2 linked regions of the Solanum lycopersicum genome follow. The protein of the gene in region 2 binds, or shares a complex with, the protein of the main gene of each other region. Links are inferred from orthologs where the notes say so. Each region holds a gene or a part of one and is shown on either strand. Other genes may lie near its edges.

Evidence for each region. The genes of interacting proteins can lie anywhere in the genome.
Region 1: the proteins of phosphoglucan phosphatase LSF1, chloroplastic (region 2) and BAM1 are in contact, whole or in part, in a cryo-EM structure (PDB 8J5D), measured with the Arabidopsis thaliana proteins. The link is inferred for Solanum lycopersicum from reciprocal best matches to the Arabidopsis thaliana genes LSF1 and BAM1. Residues at the interface, in NP_566139.1 of Arabidopsis thaliana: Met72, Asn73, Leu74, Glu76, Tyr77, Met78, Val79, Arg112, Ile113, Met115, Lys122, Leu131, Arg157, Phe266, Pro267, Glu270, Tyr271, Ala274, Leu275, Arg277, Ser278, Gly280; in NP_189034.1 of Arabidopsis thaliana: Glu208, Asp212, Thr235, Leu236, Pro237, Val238, Lys240, Gly241, Arg242, Thr243, Gln246, Asp250, Arg253, Tyr306, Ser309, Ser310, Lys312, Ala313, Glu316, Thr317, Tyr318, Trp362, Gln365, Met366, Asp369.

The regions. Positions count from the first base shown.
Region 1 is NC_090808.1:67,856,145-67,859,902, reverse strand, and holds the start of BAM1 (beta-amylase), read right to left. Parts: upstream 2,241-3,758; 5' UTR 2,168-2,240; coding exon 1,554-2,167; intron 941-1,553; coding exon 730-940; intron 651-729; coding exon 540-650; intron 441-539; coding exon 1-440. UniProt on the Arabidopsis thaliana protein: Beta-amylase activity. Can use p-nitrophenyl maltopentaoside (PNPG5) as substrate only in reduced form. Can play a minor role in the starch degradation and maltose metabolism in chloroplasts during the night. More active on phosphorylated glucan.
Region 2 is NC_090811.1:31,878,949-31,882,706, forward strand, and holds the start of phosphoglucan phosphatase LSF1, chloroplastic, read left to right. Parts: upstream 1-1,561; 5' UTR 1,562-1,716; coding exon 1,717-2,112; intron 2,113-2,336; coding exon 2,337-2,452; intron 2,453-2,549; coding exon 2,550-3,009; intron 3,010-3,220; coding exon 3,221-3,289; intron 3,290-3,758. UniProt on the Arabidopsis thaliana protein: Starch granule-associated phosphoglucan phosphatase involved in the control of starch accumulation. Participates in the regulation of the initial steps of starch degradation at the granule surface.

The DNA of each region.
Region 1 (3,758 bases), on a different chromosome or scaffold from region 2:
GCATCTTGTGGCTGCTCGTGGTCACGCATTTCAACACATGTGAAGTTGAAAACTGCACCGTGGCGGGCAAGCATTTGGGCGATGGGAAGGTAACCATCTCGGTTACGAGTGTTGTAGTATCCAGCAGTCAACTCAGGGGCATGGGACCTTGTTCCATAGTGCCAGTGGATACCTGCAATCTTAACTGAAATCTTCACACCTTTGTCCTCGAATATCGCCTTGGATGATTGCAGTATCCTCTCGCCATGGTTCAAAAGCATTTGAGAATACCAAGTGAGGAAGAACTCCCCGTATTGACTATCCCATCCACCACCTTCCTTCTTGAAAAAGTTTGTATCTTCTGGCCAATTGTTGTACTCACCAGCATCGGTTGGACCGGTGTGTCCCCATTCAGGCTTACCAAATGCTTCCGCTGCACCCTGTAAGCTACCGATCATGTACTGCAACGCGATACAATACATTTAACAGAACAAATCATCAGTAATAATGACGACGTTAAACACTAAAACACACCATAGAAAACAGAACTTGCTTTATACCTTATCATAACACTGAAAAGCACCGATTCCAGGGAACTTCCATATTCCATCTTTTTCGGGATAGGATGGATAACGGAGCTCACCAGCTGGACCCATCCCGACTTGAATTTCCTATATCACACGTCATTTGGATTAAAAAAGTGAGTCTTCTACTCTTCGATCAAAAATTCGAAAAAAACATAGCACTTACCACAATGGTATCACCTAAGAGATTCTCAAATCTATCTCTAAACCCTCTCATGAAATCAGAATAGCATTGAACAGGAGTCCTTCCTTTAAGAACTGGAAGTGTATCGCAACCAAGCGATACATATTCAAAATTCCTCCTTCCCCACTGATCTGTGTATGCAAGATCTGGATCCTTCTCCATCTCCTCAACAACCCACCTCGGAAGAGGGATCCTGAAATTTCAAAAATCTACTTAAGCAACGCCTATACATCGCGATTAGTAGAAATCAAAACGCATAACAGAACTCGAATGAAAATTAAACAAAGATAATTGAATTATTCATGAATCTTCCATATTCCATTTTATGCTATTCAGGTTGATTCCAATCTATTATAAAGTCATTTATCTTTCCAGATAAAATATAGTTACTTTAAATAGTTCATTTAGCACACATATAAAGGAGCATATTCTCACTATCCACTAACCTTTTTTTGAACTTTCTTCTTTAATCTTTTCCAGATCCTATGAATCTTTTATCTAAAAGTATTTGTTGAAGAGATTTACCACCTCGACGAGGAATGATATCTCTCCACTCGTTTCGAGCAATGCTTCTCCCTTTTAAGTTAGCTTTTTGTGAGGTTAAACTACGATAAAATACTAATTTGACATGTTATGATAGTCAGGCCACATCCGATGTGAAAATATCTCGAATTAGCTTTTGAGATGCGAGTTATATCATGTTTGATTTGACGGTATTCATTATAACAGATCTAGATTTTGAATCTGGTAATCACAAATTTGCAGTTAAAACGAATTAAAAATAGCATCGGAGAAAATATACATACGTGCAGGAATCACCGACGTTACCACCGCATTGATGGAAAGACATCACAGCTTGAACTTTGAGTCCATGTTTTTTCGCCATTTCCATAAGCTCAGCATAACCGCCCCAATTATACTCTCCCGGTGCATCTCTCTCCACCAATCCCCACCACACATCCATCATAATCCCTTCCACACCGGCGCTTTTCAACGCCTGTAAACTCGCATTCATCGCCTTTTTTCTATTCACAGTATGATCCGTTTTCACACTATCCAACGGCATCATAACAAACACCGGAACACCTTTCTCTTTCTCCGACGAATTCCTAACCTTATATTCTCTCTCAACTACCTCCTCTACCTGAGCCTCCATCAACGCTTGACACGCTACCGATAAATCCGGTCGCATTCCTCCTCCCATCATCGGACTCATCGGCGGCGACGGCGACGGCGACACCCTGTCAATTTCATTTCCTGTTTTTTGCACCGATACTTTTAAATTCGTCATCGGTGTTCTCCACATAGCTGATGTAGCTGAACTCCCCTTCGCCGGAACTTCGCATGAAACTCCACCGGTTTCCGCCGTGAGCGATGTTCCTGATAAGGCACCGATCTGGTGTGGCAGACTCATTGCCATAATAATAATAATATTATAACTAATTTTTTTTTTTGCAGATTAAAAATGATGAATTTTTTTAATTTTTTTTTTTGTTTTGTTCACCAAATTGATGGAGAAAAATGGAGAAGGAGGAGTTGAAATTGTGGATTATTTATAGAGTATACAAGTAAAAATAAAAAATAGAAACTCTAGATAATAAGATATATAAAGATAAATAGGACCGTTAAATTAATGACACGTGTAAGTAACTACACGTGGCGAAGAACGAGCGATGGCGGAGGCGACGGTTAAGATTGCTTTTGATCACGTGAAATGGACGGTGGATATTTGGAGACGCGTGAAGGTTCATGTAGCTCAAGTATGGGAAGAGTAATGGAGCGATAAGGTGTTTTAGAGTTACTTACTTCACGTCCGTGAATTATTATTCACGAATAAATTGAGAAAGTTAACAGAAAGATTTGATTTTAACTTCATAGAGTCGGAGGAAAATAAGATACGGAAAATAATATCGAGATGGCTGGAGTATGTGATGAGCAGATACACGAATGCATCGATATGGAGATATGAAAGGTCTAGATTATGAACGAATTCAAAAAAAGTAGAGTACTTAGGCGGAAAAAATAGTAATTTATGAAGTAATTAAACAAAACACGATAATATTACAATTTATCAAAGACGTATACCTAAATAGTAAAGCGTGTAAGATATTAACTATGTTAAAAGGTTAATAGATGAGACTCGGGAGTGTATGGACTTGTTGTCTTGTTTTGTCCGGGGCTTAATATTACTCTTATTTTTTTCTCTTCTATTATATTTTATTTATATAATTTAATTATAATAATATTTAATAACCATTTGTTATTGTTTTTTAATCAATCATCATATATCTTTGATATAAAAGTCTAAATTTTTTTTAAAAAAAACTCAATAATATAATACTGAATATATTATTATTGTTATCGACGTTACTTTCCAATAGTGTTAATTGACTAAATAAAAGTATAATAATATTTTCATTTAATTGTCATCTCTTCTTCAATTAGGCATTATTATTTTAAAAAAATTTACTATTCGTCATTGGACACGTGGCATAAAGAATAAGGTGCCGGTGAAAATGGAAAACGAAGTATTTTGTCCCTTTTTTTTTTTTTTTTTATGGTTACATTTAGGTACACGAAACGTAAAATATAAATTATTTTTGGAAGAAAGTAAAGAAGATAATTTTGATGTGACACGTGGTGGTTTTTGGACGGTGAATTTATTAAAAGGAGCCACGTAAAATTTGGCATATATATCTCTCTTTTTTTTTTCTATTTTTTCTTTCAGTTATATTAATCACATTATTTTACACTTTTTAATTTATTTATTATTTATTGGTGGTCCTCGAAAATAATTGATATTGACTATGGAAAAAGAAAGGAAATATCATAAAATGCATTAGAAATATTTTCAATTTATCACTTTTATTTTACTATTACTATAATATAATCATATTGAATTCAAAATTTGTTCTGAGTATTAATTTTTGAATTTTCACATATAACAAACAAAAAATTCATATTTGTATGTTATAGCAAACTTTGCATAATTGCGCTCCATAGCAAACATA
Region 2 (3,758 bases):
TATTATATACAATTACGTGAATACAAAATTTACTTAAACAATAATTTTTTGTATATTGACATCTAACTAACAAAAAAATTGTATCTAAATTTGTGTTTTAAGCCACTACCTCATAATTATGATGTTCTTCAGATCCGTCAACTTCACGTGCATTTTCCTATGAATCAATGTTTACTGCTTTCCTCTTTCTTCCTCCTTGTACAATTTTAATGCCTCTAGCTTTAGCATTGTTAATAACTTCTTGAACTGCCGTAAGGTCATATTTTTTCTTTGATCTCAATTCTTCCATTGTTTGTTCATGTAGAACTTGTTTTGATTTTATCATAGGCCCTACATCAACCCCAAAATCTTGAGTTTAACCCATTGAAAACGATGATAAATTATCAACAAAATTGACATGCAATGAAATACCTCTAATAATCCTCATAGATGAAGATGATTCATTCATTCTGTGACTAATTTGAGATCTAATAAGAACAAACAATCGATTATTTCATCAAAAAATATGAAAAAACATAAGAAACACAATACATATACAATTGTTGAATAAGGAAAAAAAAGGAAAACGACTAAAATTTAGGAGTACCTACGAAAATTGAATTCAACTTCGGGAGGGAGTAATTGAATTTTGGACAATTTGAAATTCAAATCGGATAGAAGTATTAGTTGTAGGAGAAAAAGGTGGAATATGAATAGGAGAGATAATATTGTTTTATGTAAAATTATATACAAAATTAAAAAAAAAAGTTTTTATACTATTGGTTATATAATAGATGGTGAACCCCATTAATTATAGCAAAAAAAAAAATTATAATTATAAAAAGTAAATAAATTAAACTATACACCTATTATATAATTACTTAGGAATGTTTGTCATTCTATATAATTTTCCCTTTAAATGGAATTTTAGGGATACAAATTTGGATAATTGGATTAGGAAAGTTGGGCATGGACAGTTGGGCTGAGAATATTTTAAGTTGGGCTATTGGGCTGGCTGGGAGGGTAACAAATAACAAATATACACATATAATTTCGGTTTTTGGTTAATTGAAATATTAAATTTAAAAAACCAAAAATCAAACAGAAAAATTGAAATATTAAAATTCAAAACCAAAACAATCAAAATAACTAAAAAATCAAAACAGAAATTAAAAAAATTGATTCGATCAATTTTTTTGGTTTAAACCATATTATGCCCAGCTATTTTTAACTTAATTGCAGAAATTTGCTTGCAAAATGACTTGTAAATTGATTGCAAGCTATTTGTTTGATTGGACACTTGTTCACGAAGATGTAAGAATAATATGATAATGCATTTCTAACCAAAAACAAATTAATTAAACTTATTAACACAAATCCAAATAATACTATTCTCTGGCTAATTTTCTATTTTTTGAAAGTCAAATAATTTAATTTATTTGAAATGAACTTCATATATTTATAAATTGATATTATAAATCATAATAAAGATTTACATTGATATATTTGAATATGGTAATAAAAAAGGTGCGACGTAAATGGAATAGAGGAATTAAAATTGATAGATATTTGTAGATAGTGTGAAACAGAAAGTTGGTTGCACCCAAATAGAGAAGGTGAGGAGAGGCACGTGTCTTTGCGGGTAATGTGCGCAATGGCCTCTGCCTCTCAACTCTTAGCTCCAATCAACGCCATTTCTTCTTCTTCTTTTTCTTCAGTATATAATCATCTTCTTCCATGTCTCTAGAACTTACTCACATCTTTATGCACACAAATTATACTACTTCTTTCTACAATCAATCACATTGTTCTTTGAAAATGTGTTCACTACAACTTCCGAATTGCAGGGTTTTCAACGATGCTAACTTCTCTTCTTCTTCAGATAAGTTGCAGAAATGTGTGGTTTTCTCCTCATTTTGGGGAGTAGAGTTGTGCTTCAGTGATGCACGGCTTACAGCTAGCTCGGCAGTTAAACGACGACAATATCGGCCGATTTCTGCTATGTCTTCATCTTCTGATTCACCTTTCAACATGAATTTGAATGAGTATATGGTTACACTTGTAAAACCGCTGGGTATTCGCTTCGCTCTTTCTGTTGATGGCAAAGTGTTCGTTCATGCTCTTAAGAAAGGGGTTAGTATGTTTTCGCAATTAAAATCCTTACATTTGAATAGCTGTGATTTTACAATATGCAATTATCCGTTTCTACCGTCATACTTAAGCCCTTCACTGCAAGTTTATACAAACTGTTTTGTCTGTGTCATTGTACGCACCTGGATCTTGGTAGATTTTCGCATTTTCTATTGAAATTTGTTGTTATGAAGGAATCTCTTAGTTTGTGCAAGTGTTATTTGTAGGGGAATGCTGAGAAATCAAGAATAATAATGGTTGGTGATACATTGAAAAAGGCCAGTGACTCTTCAACTGGGGGGCTTATTGAGATCAATGACTTTGGCGATACAGAGTATGAAACGTAAAAATTATACCAATTTTAAGCTATAGAGTACATTTCCGACTGAAGTAGTGGGATGTTTCAATAAGTGTACTGTATTTTACTATGGTTTCTGCAGGAAGATGATGAATGAGAACGCAGGCCCTTGTAGCCTGGTTCTTGAGAGACCCTCTTTTCCATTTCCTATCCACCAGCTATATCTTATGGATGATATTGATATTCTGTATAATAGAGGTCGTGTTCCCATTGCTACATGGAACAAAAATTTACTTGCCTCCAACTTGCGAACGTCATGTGAGGGCAGTGGGAACTCTGGATTTGTAGTATTTTCCCCAAAGTTACTAACATTAAATGGATGGAATGTTCTGAGTAATGGAGATCCAATCAGGCAACAAGGAAATCTGAACGGTACCCCCTGGTTACCATTTAGCCCAATTATCAACATATTTTCTGAGAAAGACATGATAGATTCTGAATGGGCGCATGGGAATTTCCCACTGGAAGAATACATAAAGGCGTTGGATCGTTCAAAGGGAGAACTGTATTACAACCATGATCTTGGTATGCGCTACAACAAGGTGTGACATTCAGATTTTTCTGTGTAGAACCTTTCCTTTACTCAGATGATTAGTATTCAACTGCTTGAGATAAAGTTAACAGCTCCAGGAATTCTATGCTTTTCAATTTTGCTGAACACCATTTTAATCCACTGCTGTGGTATGTTTTATTCTCAAGAAGCTACTCTTCTGTTGCTTGGTTCTGAAGTACATTGCTTGTGTCCTTTGCCAGATTACTGAGCAAATGTATGTGGGATCGTGCATACAAAAGGAATCTGATGTGGAAATTCTGTCAGATGTGGTGAGGCTATACTTGCTTTTGTGGGTTAAATATACACTATTTTTCCCTTTCTATTTCATGAAGTATACAGTACAGATGTGGTGCAGCTATGCAATTGTGGCTTGAAATAATTTATTTTTCCCTTCCTATTTCATGAAGTATATACAACTGATATACTGAGAATCGTGTCTTGTACATCTCTAGATTTTCCAATCCATATAGAATTTTGGTTTGCACACCATCTGATAGAACTGAGAGTATCCTGACTATCTTTAACCAATCATAGTAGCAGGTCAAAGAGAAACAATGAGTGTATATATAACGAAAGTACATCAATGGTTTTATATGGTGAACTCAGCCTGCAAATGACCTGCAGTTGTGGTTCTCATGAATATGTATGGTTGTCCTACGTTTCAATTGCAGCATGAAGACAGTTTCTTGATGGAGGCCAAGAGCCAAGACCATATTTGACAAATATAAGCGAGTTTGA